3 linked regions of the Drosophila melanogaster genome follow. The main gene of each other region encodes a partner of the protein of the gene in region 2 in a complex. Each region holds a gene or a part of one and is shown on either strand. Other genes may lie near its edges.

Evidence for each region. The genes of interacting proteins can lie anywhere in the genome.
Region 1: Usp12-46 (region 2) and CG9062 share a complex: the UniProt entries of both Drosophila melanogaster proteins name them as parts of the usp12-46 deubiquitylase complex.
Region 3: Usp12-46 (region 2) and CG6420 share a complex: the UniProt entries of both Drosophila melanogaster proteins name them as parts of the usp12-46 deubiquitylase complex.

Annotation. Positions count from the first base shown.
Region 1 is NT_033778.4:11,279,984-11,285,600, forward strand, and holds CG9062 (uncharacterized protein), read right to left. Parts: upstream 3,989-5,617; 5' UTR 3,931-3,988; exon of another isoform or gene 3,868-3,930; 5' UTR 3,743-3,867; coding exon 3,701-3,742; intron 3,623-3,700; coding exon 3,403-3,622; intron 3,341-3,402; coding exon 2,346-3,340; intron 2,286-2,345; coding exon 2,181-2,285; intron 2,117-2,180; coding exon 1,977-2,116; intron 1,908-1,976; coding exon 1,712-1,907; intron 1,650-1,711; coding exon 1,455-1,649; intron 1,397-1,454; coding exon 1,291-1,396; coding exon of another isoform or gene 1,283-1,290; exon of another isoform or gene 1,168-1,282; coding exon 1,124-1,167; 3' UTR 501-1,123; downstream 1-500. Other genes in the region: Vhl (von Hippel-Lindau), read left to right, coding at 1-431; CG13220 (uncharacterized protein), read left to right, coding at 4,515-4,976. UniProt on the Drosophila melanogaster protein: Regulatory component of the Usp12-46 deubiquitylase complex. activates deubiquitination by increasing the catalytic turnover without increasing the affinity of deubiquitinating enzymes for the substrate.
Region 2 is NT_033777.3:22,749,160-22,753,995, forward strand, and holds the start of Usp12-46 (Ubiquitin-specific protease 12/46), read left to right. Parts: upstream 1-1,741; 5' UTR 1,742-2,207; intron 2,208-4,836. Other genes in the region: rumi, read right to left, coding at 80-1,179, 1,230-1,365. UniProt on the Drosophila melanogaster protein: Catalytic component of the Usp12-46 deubiquitylase complex.
Region 3 is NT_033777.3:26,719,347-26,726,758, reverse strand, and holds CG6420 (uncharacterized protein), read left to right. Parts: upstream 1-1,542; 5' UTR 1,543-2,046; coding exon 2,047-2,592; intron 2,593-3,644; coding exon 3,645-3,833; intron 3,834-3,905; coding exon 3,906-5,840; intron 5,841-5,911; coding exon 5,912-5,971; 3' UTR 5,972-6,912; downstream 6,913-7,412. Other genes in the region: CG14244 (uncharacterized protein), read right to left, coding at 235-542, 606-618; Yif1 (Yip1-interacting factor 1), read right to left, coding at 7,159-7,392. UniProt on the Drosophila melanogaster protein: Regulatory component of the Usp12-46 deubiquitylase complex.

The sequences.
Region 1 (5,617 bases), on a different chromosome or scaffold from region 2:
CCCTGGATCTGTACTGGGTGTGCGAGCGGGAGCGGGAGAACATGTACCTTACCCTCAAGCCCTTCGAGGAGGTGCGGGTGAACACGTTCACCACACACAGCTGGCTGTTCCGGGATTACTACACGGGCGAACGGATGCACGTACGCTCGCAGAGGATCTTTCAGCCGATTCGGGTGCGGGTACCCAAGAGCCAGCAGAGTCCGGATCAGCTGGTTGACGTACGCAGCGAAGTGCTGATCCACTTTCCGATGAGATCGCTGCGCGAAAACTGCCTCTGGCTGGTCGCCCGCTGGCTGATCCGGACGAGCAACGCGCCACGGAGGATTATCCACGGATACCACATACCCTCGACGCTGAAGCAACAGCTGCTCAGCCTGCTGACCTGCATCGAGTCCTATTCCCGAGTGGCGGGCACGCGACGTCGGCGTTAGGAGCACACTCCTAGTTGTTAGTTAAGAGGGCGGGTAATCATCTTAGGGACTGAGAGACAGGCTTGATTTCCAAATAATTTAATAACTTTAATTGATTTCCATCCTGGTTTTCGATTTTCGCTTATTACTTATGTACAAATTGGCTTGCATAGAGCTCTTTACAAGTTGGGCTACTACCATTGCATTGATTTTTCTGTATATTTAACAGATTTCTTATACCTATGTATGTTCTATGTAAATAATTATGTATAAACCTAATGTGAAACAAGTGTGAATATTACATACATACATATATGCGCAATACTCTAGGTCTAGTTGCTTCAGATGCAAATACGATTTAATGGTATGTCTGCAGTTACTCCTTTGCAATGCTTATCTACGTGTGTCGCAAGCCTAATTGTTATAAGTCTGAATCTGAAGTACATATTTATTCCTAACGAGAAGTGAACAAACAAAAGTACTCCGGTGCACTTTTAAATTTAAAGTTAACGCTCGTACAGATTCTCCTTGAATGTGTTTGTGTTTGTCCACGAGTCGAGTCGAGAAGAGATGAGACGAATCGCAGGTTAACTCAAATATATTGCAAAATCAACTTATAAAAATATAAATTGTTAATCGATCTGCTCAATCTCGTTCTCATTCAATAATGCATCGGTACTGCTTCGGTTAGGCGGGAGATCACTTGCCAGCGTTCAATACTTGCGCGTCACGCGCTCCAAGCTATCCCCGATCGAACCTATGGGGCGGATATATATAAGCACAACTCTCGGTTAGGCAATAGCAATTGCAGAAATCAAGTATGCGTTGTGTTTGTGATAGGTGTTCTTGTGTTGTTCAATGCGTGGGCTCTCTTATTTACCATCGTAGTTGAAATTCTGTTTGGTCTTGTACTGAAACGTTAGATCGGTCGACTGCTTCCAGATAAAGTGGCGCACCGTGCGCAGGTCCATGTTGGGGTCCACAACCTTTAAAGGAAAGGCGGTGAACAAGGTCCTTTAAATGAGATTTGTCCATTTGTCTTACCACATCGTTACACCACAGTTCAATTCGTTCCTCAGCTGGCAGTTGGGATCCCTCCGAATTAGCATCGCTCTGGCTATTCTGCAGTGAATTGTTAGCATTGCCCCCACTTGGGGTAGTTTCCGCATTCAGCACCTTTTCAAGCACGTGCTCGCAGACCTTGCGACACTGAATAAATTCATTAGCCACAAGACGATCCTAAAAAATTTAATATAAATTGCGTTAGAACATGAGTTTTGTTTGCTGTCAAGGACGGCTACCTTCTTCGTTCGTTCAGGCTTGGTCATTTGCGGGTGAGGCTGCAGGAAGAACGGTATTTTGAGGAACTTGGGAATGTTCTTCTCGATCACCACGTCGGTCACCCACTGAGGCGCCGTTTCGTGGAGCAGGGTACTTTCGCTATCGCCAGCTGCGTCGCGTACCAAAAGTCGGCAAACAGTGCGGCCACCCACTTCACTGTTTAATTTAGCCAGAAATTTGAGAAATTAGTTATGGTGCAGATAAGGTTATATCACAGTCACTAACCTAAAGATGACGGGCGTGTGCTTGGGCACTTGGAAGTAGCCATTGCCGTGCATATCGGGTTCCATTTCGTTTGGTGGTATGCTATGCGGTGGTGTCCAGTACTCTAGCAGGGCTTCTAAAAGTAATTTGCCATAGTTGATCTATAAAAAAACAAAGCATTTTAAATGGCATTTAATATGTGAAGGGGTCTGATGAGCGATCAACCTTAATCTCTGTTGTGGGATCGACGCACTCCGGCAGTCCAGCTTCAATGGAAACCCAAGCGGAAAAGCAATCCACTTCCTCCTGACCCAATACAATCGTTGGCATCTGCAAAGCATAATTAAGTATAAACGAACTTAAGCTTCAATAGAGCTTAGCTTAACTCACCCCGGTTTTCAGATCAACAGTGAACCAGTTTGGAATGTAGACCTGCTTATTACGCTTCTTCACCTCCGCTTCGAAATCAACAGCGCCCAATTGCTCTTTTTTGACAACTCTCAGCACATCGTACACCACGACCTGATCTTGTGAGTCCTTGGTTATGATATAACGTTTGTCGTTCAGCACCGCGCACTCCTTGATGGCGGCTCCACCTTTTATGCAGGCCACCTCAGTGCCGCCCTGTGTCCATTGTGCGTCCATTCCGCCCGAGGAATTTAGTGTGCACCTGTCGTACATGGGCAGCTTCCAACAGCGAATGTCCGAGTTCCAGGTGGTGGCCCACACCCCAGTCTTGTCGATGTTGTAGCCCAGACTCAGCACGGGCGCCTGCTCCTCGCACACAAGCGTTTTGTTACTAGGGTTCCGCATCTCGGTCACAATGATGTTGCGATCCCGACTGCCGGAGATGATGTACTGGAAGTTCTCGCTCATCAGCAGCGACCACACGCCCTCCTTGTGCACGTGGATGGTTTGAACACAGCGCTGTTGGCCCAGGTTCCACACCTTGATCGTGCCGTCGGAACTGCCAGACACCACCTGGTTTCCATCGGGCGACACCACCAAGCAGCGCACGTTCTCCGTATGGCCTCGCAGCTTCATTCTGCGCATACAGGTGCGGGGATCCCAGATACGCAGTATATTCTCCGTGGACCCGCTCACAATCACGGTGCCCGATGGATTCATGGCCAAGCTGTAGATTGAGTCCTTGGACCCGGTTAGACTAGAGGTGGTAACCGTGTTATTGCTCGCCGTGAGCGCGGTCAGTGTGTTCACGTCCCACAGGAAGATGGCCTTGTCCAGTCCAGCGCTGGCCACCTGTTCCCGATCCTTGGCGTAGGCCAACGCCTGCACGTAGTCGCGATGGGTCCGCAGGGTGGACATGCAGAAGCCTTTCTGGGCGTTCCACACCTTCACCGTGGTATCACAGCTGGCGCTAATAACTATGAGTGCAAAAGATTGAATGTTTGAATGAATGCCTAAACTGATCGGTGGAGCAACTCACGGTTCCTGCCATTACAGCAAAGTACTATGTCGTTGACCCAGTCGTTGTGGTGCTCCATCGATTGTATGTACTTCTCGCTGGAGTCCGTCCGTGTATTCCACACACGGATTATGGCGTCGCGACCGGCGGAGTACAACTTGCCGTTATTGGCATCCAGCTGCAGAGCGTTTACGCCATTCCGGTGCTGTTTCTCCTCGGCGTCCCGTATCACGAAGGAAACCTGGCGTCCGACGGTTTAATTGAATTAGTTTGGGCTTAGGTGTCCGCTTTCCTTCCCGTTTTCAATTGGCGCACTCACCTGCATTTTCTTACGTGCCTGACAAGTTTTGTGCGTCAACATGTCGTCCACGGATCTGCTGCACTGTGGCTCTCGGCGATATCTCTGGACTGAAGTGCTTCAGGAGCTGGCGTTGGTTGTTCTCTGCTCGCGGGGCGCGCACATTTATCGACGTTGCTTTGGGGCGGCTGATATTTACTTTTTGCAAATTGAAATTGAGGAATTTCCAGGCAACTACAAATTTTTCGCACCTATTTCGCTCTCTGTCTCTCCCCATTCGGTCCTCCCACCTCTCAGGCACTCCTCCACTCATTCTCCTGCGCCGGCTGGTGTTGCCACCTGGTTGTGCACACCGTGCCGGCTGTTCAACAGAGTTGACACTTCTTGTTCAGAAAGGTGACTCGTTCCGGAACCACTAAACTTAAAAATTCGAAAATTTTTAAAAAACCAGCCAAGAAAATAACTATAACATTTGTTTTTAATTGTACATTCAGGAAATATCGGGGCTAATGTTATGCAAATACGCAAAACGCCCACTAACATGAGCGCTCCAAGCGTTAAAGCCCTTGATAACAAGTACTCTCCCTGTCAGATATGTACATTTATATATTAGGATCTCTCAGACATTGACATATTATATTGGTCAAAACATTTACATCTTTATACACATATCTACCTAGAACCAGTGATATACCATCTGCAGAGTGTCCGCGAAGACCGACATAACTTTCACATATATCGCGACCTGGCAGCCCTATTCTTTACATAACAAGAAGAAGAAGACTCGTCGACCTCACCGGGATCCAAAAACTTAATTGCATTTTCACCGATAATAATGGCCGGGACACAGTCAAAAGACGCCTGCAGCATATGCGACAAAGTGGGCCTCAAGCCCTTCACCCGGGATAATGTGTTCAACTACTACATACCGCTGCACGGCCTGGTGAGCTACGGAGCCCTTGCGGTGAATGTTATGAACCCCCAGATCGTGCCCAAAATCCTGCCCAAGAAGGACCTGACGAACGTGTTCCTCATCTCCGCGGTGGTGGGCAGTGCCTTCTACATTTACGGCAGGCCCCACCTGAAGGACGTGAAGAACAACAAGCGAGGTGCGTACGCCCTGCTGGGCGCCACCCTATTCTCCATGGGATCCGTTCTGGCCTGGGCGCTCATCAAGTCCGCCCTGCCACAGGACAATGCACTGCTGGCGACCCTGGCGGGCTTGGGAACTGGCGCCGCCATCGTGAAGGTCGGCACTGATTACATTCAGGACGTGGATAAGCTGCAGAAGAACTAGATGATCTGATCGATACGATATAGGACTGAGGTATTCGAACCCAAAAGTGGGTTCGTACTGTAATTGCTGTCTTGGCCGTACATAGCTCGTAATGCAATATTATCTCCCGCATATTTGAATAAAATTATACTATAAACCCGACTGAGCGGTGTGTTTTGCTGTGTCAAGAGATGGATAATGCCGGGTGTAGATTGAAAATGTTTGCGTTTATTTTAAATTAAATGTACCTTTAATTGCCGTCTCTTAACTGCTAGTAATGCTTAACAATTGAATTGTTTTAATTTATGTTATGTATGTGTGGTATATGCGTTACCTTTATAAATGGTTACTTCGTTTATATAAAAACATCTAATCGGAAACGCCAATATGTACATTCTTGTCGGATTAAAACATTCTACAAATTGCCTTGGCGACTTTGAATTGACGACTACTTTATGGTAAATATATTCTTTTTGTATTGCGAATTATACACTTTAAACTTATTTTTAATTCTTGTATACATACTTTACAAACGCTCAATGGTCGGACTTAACTATCAATAAATCAGTATGTATATATATATATATACCATTATATATACTAAAAAAAATCATTGAAAATCGTTGCAACGGTTGTCTTCAAAAGGAAATGATTTTCGCGCT
Region 2 (4,836 bases):
GCGGACAGAGAGATTCACGCTGCTCTAAGCAACTTAATACAAAATGAGAAATGCTTAAACACAATAACATTTCATTTCGCTACAGCTCATCCTTTTTAGGCCCTATGTAAATAAGTTGATCCTCCGGCTTAACCTCGTATTGCAGCAGCTTCACATATCGCTTGAGCAGCTTGCGCCAATAGCACTTGATGTCCTTCATGCGCAAATGCTCCCAGATGAAGTCGTATCCACGCTGAGCGATCTCCTGGGCCAGCGCATCGTTTTTCTTGAAAAAGGACAAGATGTGCTCGTACTCCTGCTGACTGGGGTAGCTCTTGAGCGGCACATAGTGCACCCAGGGCTTTAGTTGGTCGTAGAAGAACTCCTGCCACTCGTCGCCCACATGGAAGACCAGCGACTTGCAGAGGAACAAGTGCTTCAGACGAAAACTGGCGGCCACACCGCGGAAATTGAACAAGTACTTGTACTTGCAGTGGTCCTCGAAGGACACCTCATCAGCAGCCGGTGCGTCCAGTGTATCCTTAGGCGACTTCCAGCCCTGATTTTTGGTGTATTGAGCCTCGACTAGCTCCGGATTGCGGCGCGAGAGCAGAATAAGAGAATCACGTTCGTCCGAGGTGCGTGAACCGCGAAAGAAGCCCAGACTGCGTTTCTGTGACCAGGGTATAGCTGCCGCTCGCTTCTCCAGCTTCTCGCGCATCTGATCCCAGCGTCCAATGCCACGAGGATGGAGCTTGGTGGCCGGTCCTCCGGCCCAGAATGTCCACGCTGGATACATGATGTCGCGGTACTCCTTTGTCTTGGAGAAGGAGAAGACGGGACCACCAGCCGCGTTACCCCACGCCGCATTCAGCTGCGGATAGTCCCTGGTATTGATGATCAAGTCCATGTCGGGCAGCGTAGCCACCAGCGGCAGCAGGAAGTGTTCAATGCCCTCACAGCGGGCTGGGAACATGCAGTTGGCATCCCGGTACAGGCGATGTCCGTAGATCTTGTATTTGGTGCCGTAACGCGCTGAACTCTCGATCATCTGCCGGGTGACACCTGTTGACTTGTAGGGCGCGAGATCCCGTTTCAGAACATTTGCGTGGCAGGAGCAGTCGCTGTCCTGGGGATCACTGCTGCACGGCTTGTAGTCGGCATTGGCTTTTTCGATCTGGCGACGTATCTTGAAGCTAACTAAATTAATTGATTAATTAATTAATCGAAGCCGGCAACAAGTTGCTTACATTCATCCTCGTTTATTTGGTCGGGTTCACTTTGTGCACAGGATTTTTGATCGGCACTGCAAAGTCCGTCATCTTCTGCACCTCCTGTTCCTACCAAACTAATTAATAATACGACTATTAAATGATTTATTAGCATTTCTTTGGATGTAAACAAATTTGTTGGCCTTTGATTGCGGCGTCAGCAATAGGGTTGCCAAGTCAACTGAAACTATCGATATTCCAGAAATGTTTTTAAGGACATAGTTTTTAAAGTAAAATGAATGTCTACAATTGATGTAGAAAATAAAAGACTTTCTGCCATTTAGCTGCAAATAACTTAAGAGGAGAAGTAGTTGTGTTTTTAATAACTTTTTGTTACCTGGCAGCCCAGGCAGCAAAGCAGTGATTGAACTGTTACTTTCTTAGGCAGACCATGTCACTGCATTTGCAGGCAAAGCCCTGCAGTAGTAACCATTATTTTGTATGACCATCCATGTGATGGTCACCCTATGCGAGTAACTGTTCGCCGAGTTTTACTTTTGACGCGGTGTGCACACACTGGCCGATCCAACCATTATAAGAAAACCAACAAGAAACGTCGAAAGTTTTCTCCGTGTTAAAGCCAGCCAATAGCCAAATTACAAACGAAAACGACGATTTGCAATTTGCAAATTATGCGTGCGGCACCTAGTGCAATCGAAACCACGTAAACCCAACGAACGCGAGTGTTTTAGACCACCTGCAACCTGAAACAACCACCATTGTACATAATTTACACGAACAATTTTGCAACGACAACAACAAAGGACGCCGCGCTGAAAGAGAGAAGTTGACATAACTGCAAAAAGTAAATTGTATTTAACAGTGGTGGGCAACTAAATAAAGCCCGGATTGTAATATTGGCAACGAAAAATCGTAGTGGGAGTGGCCCAATTGCGAAAACGATGTTGTTTTGTTGAGACAATTGCCAAAAAGCCACCAAAAGTTCAACTAAAAAAGGTAATACATATGTATTTTTATTTATTTGCAAGTGTATCTGCATCTGTATGTGTGCGCGCGCGTGAGTGTGTGTGTGGGCGTACTACGAATAACAGTTAATTGAGCACTCATCGATTTTTTAGCCCCTTTATTGTGGCTCCTAAAAAAGGCAACTTAAATTCATTTCACCTCACGATCCGATCGCCAGATAAAATACAAAAAATAGAAAAAAAATGGAAGAAAAAACTGTTGGAAAAGTTGCCAGCCATCGTCATTAAGTTGATTTGCTACCGCCGCCGATGCTGCGATTTAATTTACCTGGCATTTGGTTTGCTTTCGAGAGCTCCAGTTTCCCATTCCGCCGCATTCCACCTGGGCTTTTCGTTTCTCGACTTTGATTTTCGTTTCCCATCCAGCGGCCGATTTTCCTGCTCGCCGACAAAAAAAAATCGTATCGCTTTCGTTTTCACATTGGACGGCGCGATATACTGGCTTTTTGTTTTTGGTCCGCGACCTAGGGTCGCATTGCCCCGCCCCTCCCGCACCAGCCCGACCGTCCATCAAAGCACCTGACTAATTAGTGTTGAGTTATTAACTTGATAATTATCGCTAGCCACGAGCGAGGTGCACTACTGGAGTTCTGCAGTGCAGGCCTACTTCCGTAACTCTAAACATCTCTTTCATTTTCCTAAGATATATGTATGTATAAACCATTTTAATGGCTTACTTTAAATCTTATTGTACAACATGGATTAGAGTATGTTAGGAGTAATCTCCAACTTATTTAATGTACTCATTTCGTTGTAATAATGTAGTATGATATCTTAATCAGATTCAACATTGTTGTTGATGAAAGTTAGCGGAAGTTGAATTGTATCTGTGCCTTGCAGTGACTAAGAACTAACTTGGCTATCTTTGAGGTCTTTTCGTTAAACTCGTTTGGAACACCATATCGAAATACTGAAAACGTTAAATACAAAAAAAAAAAAAAAAGAAACAAACACAGTAATTCGAGCTTGGCGCTGACTAAAGCTTCGCTTTGTTTATGGAAATATATGTGGTCATAATCAAGCTTTTGGAACCGAAGTCACACGTAAATCTTTTCTGCGCATTCAGACGTATCGATGCGATTGGGAGCCCCTCGACTAGCGTTTCCAATCAATGGTTCTTGGGAGAAAAACTTCGAATCATTTGCATTTTCAGTGGCGTGGCGACCCTCGCCTTCTAATGACTCGATTGATTTCCATTTTGGGCAACCTTTCTCGTTTGTGTAATGCCGGAAGTCGTTTGTCGTAACTTCTTGTATTGATTATAGATAATAATCGAAGAATGCTTTCCGTAGAACGTCTGCCAAATGGTCGTTGGCCAGCTAAAACAGCTGCCATTAGCCGCAGTCACGCTGTCTGGCTTGGGTCATACATCATTTATGTACTCCACTCCTTTGGGCAGGCAAATGACTGAACCCCCGCCCACCACCGATAACCACCCATTTCCACCAACTCCCACTCCGAAGTTCACGTGAAATGTGGCATGCCTAACCCAACCAGATGATTCATCATAACGTGGCATAGGCAGTTTATGCAGATTCCCTACCTTCCTTCCCTGCCAGCCAAGTGGCTGTAACACATTTTCATTTATGCTCCGCTCTCGCACACAATTTCTCCACCCTCTCGCATTTTTCCGTAATTTCCTGACTGATGAGTGAGCCTGCGCATTGGAAAATCGCTTTTCCAGAGCGGTAACTCGCCTGCCGAGTGGTGTGTTGAATTTCTGTTAGCTTCAGGGCTGGGTTGCTATTTTGACATGCTCTTCGGAACTTCTGGATTCATTATTATAGTTTTATTTTTAATGAGATTTTAAGAGCTTATCAATTTTACTACAATTTCCACATATATTGCCCTCTAAGACACGCTTTTGTTTAGAAATTGTTGCCGTCTTGTTAATTCAATTCCACACACTTTCTTCTGCCGCAGACTGAGACTGAAAATATATCCATTTCGCTGCGCATCGCATGTCCAGCTGTGTCAGCTTCTTTCGAATTCTTTGATGTTTCGAAATTGCCTGTCCGTAGATAATTCAGTGCGATTATATTGCGTGCCTGCTGACTGACCGCTCGTACATCATTAGCTCATCGGTGGGGTTTTGTTAGCTAATGGCCATATACTGCAACTGCATTAATAACATAATGTTTGTGTCATTAACCTGCGAACGGAACGAGTTTCCTGCTCGCGCAGCTGGAAAATCGCTTGCCTTTCGGCGGTGGCGGCTCTAATCTGCATAGAATGCGGATCGTCTTGGAAATGTCAGCTTCTCCCCCTCGCAAGAAAACCAGTTAACCAACTAATAGTGGGCCAAATTGCGATTGGTAGTATTTCAGTAGGCTATTCGAACGCATGCGTGACCGCGTTCGACAGTTGGTTTTGTTTACATTTTGGGTTATTGATCGGCTGGCGCACGATTTGATTCTCCGTGCGCTTATCATCAGCACGCACACCATGGTGATACTACACATATATGTAGCTAATGCGGCGGATCTGGTCATGGGCTCTGTGTCATGGAGAAGCATTCGGCTGGCTATCAGCACGAGCATGCTGCTCCAGTTTTCCGCGTTAGTTGCGGCTCTCCGCCTCGCGCTGAATATCGCTCTCTG
Region 3 (7,412 bases), 4.0 Mb from region 2:
AGCATGTATTTAATATAGTTTTTCTATACTGAAATGCAAATTATACGTGTTAATTTCCCTTTTTTTTTATGCTTTTTATTATACCCAACACAACAATTTTTTAATTGTAATAAAGAAGAGTAAGGAAATTTTCATTTATCAGAGAAATGACCAAAATTTAAACTGTGAAACATAATTTTTAGTTTAAGCCTAAATCCATTATTGTGGCCAAGCAACACGGACTTGCTCACTCTTTTAGCATCCACTCCATCCAGGAGGACGACTGGGCGGCTCCTGGCATGGCTTCCACTCCCAGGCGGTCCATGGCACACAGGCGTTGAGGTCCTGATCGAATCCGGTGTTGGGCTGGCACTTATGAAGGTGCGCCTGCGAGTTGATGGCGCTGCAGAGCCAGTACTTGGTGGGGTCCAAACAATAACGCTGGGGGATTTGCAGCTCCGCCGGGTGGAGGCATCCCGGCTCAGTGGAGTCGTTGCACATCGAGCGGATTCCGGACGGAAGCAGGAGCAGCACAAGGCAGCATGCCAGTGACCAGGAAAAAGCTAATCGGATATAATCAGCTTTAGTCCTTCGAATTGCGACGAATAGCGAGGGCATATACTCACCTTGCGGATGCATGGTTTTAGTGAAAGTGGTTAATTTTCCTGCTGTTGCAGATGGTTTTTATACAAGCAGTCCGGCCCCTCAAGTGGCCATTCTTATCAATCGCTCTTGATTGATTCGAGTTCGATGCGCTGCTCGAGGTCGTCGCTTGTTTGCCCATCCCACTTGGTCGGACTAAGCTGATGGGGGGGGGGGGGGGTGGAATTCCTAGGGTGACAATGCCAAGACAAAAGACATGTGTCCCAAACGAGATTTAGCTGGGAACTTCAATGCAATTGGCAGTGCAAAGTAACGAGAAAATGGGAGCAAGTAAAAGGCGGAAGGGCAGCAAAACAGCAGCTTCATTCTTCTTCTTCTTCACTGGCCAATTTCGCAGGACATGCCAAATGCATTTCCGGCTAACACCACACACACACTACCAGTGGCTGGAATAACGCAAGTCACTGTCATTGGTTTCTGTCGAATGTTGTTTATTTTGTTGGTTGTCCATTGATAAACCAAAAAAAATGAATACTGGAAAAGTTCAAAAAGGAAAAAGGAATCATAAAATGGACTTACAAAATAACCAAAGTTAGGTTATATAACTAAAAACTTTAACATTAAAGTTAGAACTTTATTATTTTCATATTTTTCATAAAAAAAAATGGAATTTATGAATATCATGAAATTCAAATTACGCGCCAAGCGTTTTAATGCTGCCCATTATTAAAAATATTGGCATCATTGATTGCAAACTATTTTGGACAGTCTGGCTGCCTTCACTGGAAATATTTTGTTTCAATGATAATGCTCGTAAATATTTTATACATAAGATGCTAAATCTTTAAGTGCACTTGTCTTAAGAAAGTAATAACAAAAGCAATTTATATATTTCGGCCTTAAATCGTTAAGAGTGACCAGTCTTTGGAGCGTTGTAAATCCAGCTCTTCGAACATCGAACAGTATCGACGGAAAGTATCGACGTTTTCTCACATCGCTAAGCCCAATCAGAAATTAGAAATAAATTAAGTAATTTGTGCGGAATAAAAGCAAGCGTGCGGCCGATGCGATAACCGCGATCCCCGTCACCCTTACCCCGCCGCCACCACGCCGTGATGCAGGCAACCAGCGCAGTGGCCGGAAAACTCGGAAAACTTGGCGAACGCAGCTGCAACGGCAGAAACAACAACAGTGCAAGCACAGCCCCACGAAACTCGGTGTAGTGAAGGAATTAAATCTAATTATAAGAAGAAAACAAGTGAAGGGCAAGCCCAACCCCGCGGCGCTTAATTAGCGGCGACAGCCAGCGATTTTCGTGGCTGGGTAGGAGCAACTGCAGCGCCCGCAGAGCCACCACTAGCACCACTGGCACCTGGCATTCACATGGGCTGAGTGCCGAGTGGATCGGTGGATCGGCGAAGGCGCAGCAGCAGCAGAGGAGCAGAAGCGGGAGCCGCACCAGCGATGGCCAACCAACTGGACGCCAGTGTGAAGGACGACCTGAAGACGCAGTTCGTCACCCGCGAGGGCACCTACCGCCTGCTGACCCTCTCGGAATACTCGCGGCCCAACCGGGTGGGCTACAGCAGCAACCAGAGCTCGCCGCAGGTGCGCGTCTCCATGGTGACCCTGCCCAGTCCGGCGCAGGGCAAGCTCGGCTCGGATGTGGGCGTGGGCACACCTGTGGGCGGCGGAACAGCAGGAGCCAACACCACCACAACGAATGGCAGCTCGCCGGGAGCGTCGCCTACGGGAGCAGCCGGAGCCAGCACAGCAATATCGAATGGAGGCGCTGGCGGTGACTATAGCCACAGCAACCACAACAGCAACAGTGCCGGAAACAACACTGTGGAGGCGCGTCTGGGCGGCGGCATATCCATGCACTCCATGATGAACGGCGGCGTCGTCGACCAGAATGGCGTGGCCACCAATCAGGTCCTAGGAGGCGATCGCATATGCTTCAACTTCGGACGAGATCTCTACGTTTACTCCTTTCGCGGAGCCAAGAAGGTAAACATTGTCGGCCAGAGATAGTCTCCATGCGCAAGCACGTGCGATGGAGGAGAAATGGTGCAGGTGGCGGTGCAGCGAGCTTATCACACCAGAGATAGAATAGAGGCTGCCGGCAATTGCATTCCAGGCGGATTGCACCAGCCAATTGGCGAGGGCCTAAAATACCTTGCCATTTGCATGCAGTGTCCCCCCAGTGTGCTTAATTTGCTCCACTTCGAGCGCTTGATGATCAATTCGCTTGTTTGGCGTTTTTATGAATGTTTATTGCGCTCGAAGGCAGTCGGTTGTGAGCGGTTTCAGCTCATCCCTGCGCGCGGATTACCCTAACTTTTGTTTGCACCTGCTGTAGTCAACGAACATTCCGATAGAGTAATCCTGGTGCGGCTTTCGACCATCCGAATTGCTCATCGCGTCGCTTGTGTTTGCCCTGTTTCCCCTGCCCAGCAGCTGTTTCTAATTCTTTGGCATTCTGTGCGGCAACAGCTTGCGATTCTCCTTATGTATTTGCTTTAGCTGGCTTCTTTGTTGCCATAGTTATCTGCTGGCGAGAACTTGGCAAGGCTTGCATAGAGCTTTTCCCACCTGATTCCGCCAACAAGCTGTTAATTTCCACTCCGCTTTCCGAATGTGTTAATTTCCAATCTTATTTCAACCCACTGAACGTATTCTTCCATTCCAAACTTGGCTCAAACGAAATTATTTGAGCCTGTTCCGCTTTGCCATTTGACTTTCACTGCATTCATATTCTTAATCTTGAAAATTATTCTATGATGATGACTTATATTTCAGTGATTTGTTTATACAAGCTCTCATCCAATAGCATCTTGTTGCACAAAGCATCGAGCTTATGATATCAATAGGGTGGACAGCTTATAAACATTTCCATCTTGGTCACAAGATATTATATAAACTTGGCTTCCATTCAGTGAACGTTTTATTTCAAAGAGTTTCTTGCCTCTTTAGGTTTACAATAGGAAAACGTAACGCAATTCAGAACGACTAAGATAAATATAAACAGATGATAGTGACTCTTGTTGACTTACTTTCAGGGCACGGAGATGAGCAAGCCGATCGATAAGAAGTTCTACAAGGGCACCAATCCCAGCTGCCACGACTTCAACATAAGCTCGGCCACGCCCACGGGAGCGCCCCTTCTGGTGGGCTTCACCACAGGTCAAATCCAGCTGGTCTCCCCGCACGTTGGTCCTCGGGAAGTGAGGAAGCTCTTCAACGAGGAGGTGAGTGTTCCACCTGAGATATATATATATATAGCCCTTCAAAGCAAACTGATTATTATGTGTGTTTTTCAGCGACTGATCGACAAGACCAAAGTGACCTGCCTAAAGTGGCTACCCAACTCACCGCACCTGTTCCTCGCCGCCCACGCCTCAGGTCACCTGTACCTGTACAACGAGGAACTACCCTGCGCCGCCACAGCGCCCAGCTATCAGCCCTTCAAGCTTGGCGACGGCTACACGATACTCACCAGCAAGTCCAAGACCACAAGGAACCCGCTCTTCAAGTGGGTCTTCAGCACCGACAACTGCTGCGTCAATGAGTTCTGCTTCTCGCCTTGCGGATCTCACTTGGCGGTGGTTTCCCAGGACGGTTTCCTGCGCGTCTTTCACTACGACACCATGGAGCTGCTCGGAATCGCACGCTCCTACTTTGGCGGCTTCCTCTGCGTGTGCTGGTCCCCTGACGGCAAGTACATTGTCGTGGGTGGCGAGGATGACCTGGTGACTGTGTGGTCGCTCCACGAGCGACGTGTAGTGGCTCGCGGACAGGGCCATCGGTCCTGGGTCTCTGTGGTAGCGTTTGACCCGTATACCACCTCGTACACAAACTGGGATGGCGGCGACTTCAGCGACGATGAGAATCAAATGAACGAGTACTCCCATTCGCGAGAGGCGCGCTTCTCCGGAGATTCCACGGCCAACGGTGGCTTCGAGGGTTTCGACCGAAACTCCACACCCGTTCACGCTGACCGCAACGGACCACACTCGGCCTCCTTTCGCTCGGACGCTTCTTCGGCCGAAAAGCTAATGAGTTATAGACTTGGCTCCGTCAGTCAGGATACCCAGATCTGCCTATGGGACATCACGGAGGACGTTCTACGCCACCCATTGGTGTTAAGGCAGCCCGCTAACAGTGAAAGGGCCTATCTCAACGGTGGTGTCGACGAAGAAGCGGAAGCAGAAGACGGCATAAAGGTAATCCGACCAGTGGCCATGTCTGGTCAAGCGACTGGACAGCAAGCGGAATCGGGCAGCTGTAGTCCAACACGGGAAGCAGCGGGCGGAGGCACAGGGAACGGTGCTGGCGAGCACAGCAATAGCAGTTCCAGCAAGTTCTCAACCGCCAACTGCACGATATCCTCGCAATCCTCGCCCGACGACTGCGACACCGAGGCAGCCACTCCCGCCTCAACTTCATCGAATGCGGGCGCAGGCTCGGTGGCTGGAGCGGGAGCGGTGGCCTCAACGAAGCAGAACAACCGCAACCATGGCACTGGCAACTCAATCAAATTCCCCAACTGCATCAGCGCCACCAAGTCAGACAGCATTGACGGAGGCGGCGGCAGCGGGAGTGGACAGAGGCCGTCGCAGACTACATCGGGATACAACAGCAAGACTTCCAACAGCTCGAACAAGTCCTCCAACTCGGGCAGCGGCTTCAGCGCCTTCAACAGCCTCACGCAGCGTCTCTCGAACTTCAGTTTCCTGAGCAGCTCGGAAAAGAAGGGCGCTGGCTATGAGGGAAGCCATTCCACCGCGCACCGTCAGCACCGCAAGGCAATGAGCATGCTGAAGAGCTACAACCAACACAACCACACTGGCGGACACAACAACCACAGCCAGAGTAACAACAGCAGCTCCTCCAACTTTGGCCACTCGAGCACTCTGGATTCGAATGCAGCCGGGGCCATTGGCAGCAGCTCGACGGCGCATAGTTTCGGATCACTGAAACTGAGCCGGTCCTCGCACCACTCCTCATTGGCCACAGCCGCCCATGCGTCGGGATCTGCAGCGGGCTCTGGCTCCGGTGTCAGCAGCTTCGATCCCATGCAGCTTATCGGAACTCCTGCCTGCCCCCGTTTCGATGAGTGCCCACTGCTGGAGCCGCTGGTCTGCAAGAAGATCGCCCACGAGCGGCTGACGGCGCTGATCTTTCGCGAGGACTGCTTCCTGACGGCGTGCCAGGATGGATTCATCTACACCTGGGCGCGGCCAGGTCATGCCACGGTGAGTGCGACACCTTGATTCTATAGACTCGAAGCGGGCAATATTTTTAATGATATACCCTTCTTTGACAGCACGCCACTCAGCACTTGTCACCTGGACAGGCGGCGGCGCCCGGCGGGACGGTAATTTAGTTCAATAAAGTGGACTTGGTCAACTATCAGCGTAATCTTGTCAAGCAGCAGGAGCAGGAGCAGCAACAGAAGCAGTCGGTGATCTAGGTTAAAGCTAGGCGATTGATTTCGGTAATTTATTGATAGGAGCAAGAGTTTTAAAGGTTTTATGTTGCGTATTTTGTATTCCAAATGTAGCCTAAATGAGTTTATGAACCACACACGACACACCGTACACCCGTAATATATATACATATATACATATATGTATATATACGATATATAGCTATGTAAAACATAACTACGATCTATATACGCAGCATCATCAGGCAACAGAACAAACGTATATGTTTAATCTAAATTATTAGTTGTAAATGTATTATTTTTTTAGTACGTGGAATTTGTTGAAAACAAAGCAAAGCATGTTTATAACTATTTACTAAGTGCTAGCCTACACTACACACGATAAATAAAGCAAAAGAACGAAGAAGTGAACTGCATTAGCGAACTAAAATAAACAGAATCAAATAGAGGAATGGAGTGGAAGGGAATGAGAAGTGGACGTCTTTACACATCGTGCTATGTACTGAGTTGCGGTCGAGGCCCCAAACTAACCAACGACGAACTATCTAACTATGTAAACTCACGAACTAACCTAAAGTAGGAACTGTTATCATTACTAATACTATGGATTCGTATGCCTTTTATTTTTTGATGCAAGCCGCCGAGTGCAACGTTTTAGCATGCAGACGACAACCGAACAAATTAGACTAAATGCAGACAGGAACCGGAAATCGGTGATCGGAAATTTGAAATCTGAAACCCGAACCAACACAGCAACAAACATTTCACACATATATTTTATAACGAGCCAGGAGAAACAACAGTCGGCACCTTGCGATGTTAGCCAATAAGTTAACAATGAGCCGAGCAAGCAAAACCAACCAAGAACACGTTACAGTAAAAAAAGACTAAAATTTCAATAAAATTATATAAAAAATTAGTTTTCATAGCTGGTATTTATTTATAAAATGTGTTTGTTTCTAACAAAAATATGCTTCTCTCGCTCGAGTCTCAAATGAGACAACCACAAACTTCATGCTGGAAAACACAATGCCTAGGCTCTGTGGAATCGTTCGACATGTGAGTGGCCACCCTGGCCACGATTAACTCAAGGAGTATGCAAATTAACCTATCAAGCCTGTGGGTTAGAAGGTCTTGGGCACCGTCAGCACCTCCGCCTCGGGCAGATACAGGTGCTTGGAGAGCAGGAAGGCGAACAGCGCCTGTCCCGCGACGATCATGAACAGGAAGTAGAGTTTGCGCTTTTTCCCGCCGCTGTAGTCAAATTGCTGTGGATTGCCATACGGATCGTAGTTGATGGCTCCACTGGGCGCAGCCGGGGAGTTGTCCTGCAGCAGTTTCGTCCGCAACGTGCGGAGCTACAATGAAGGTAAGATTA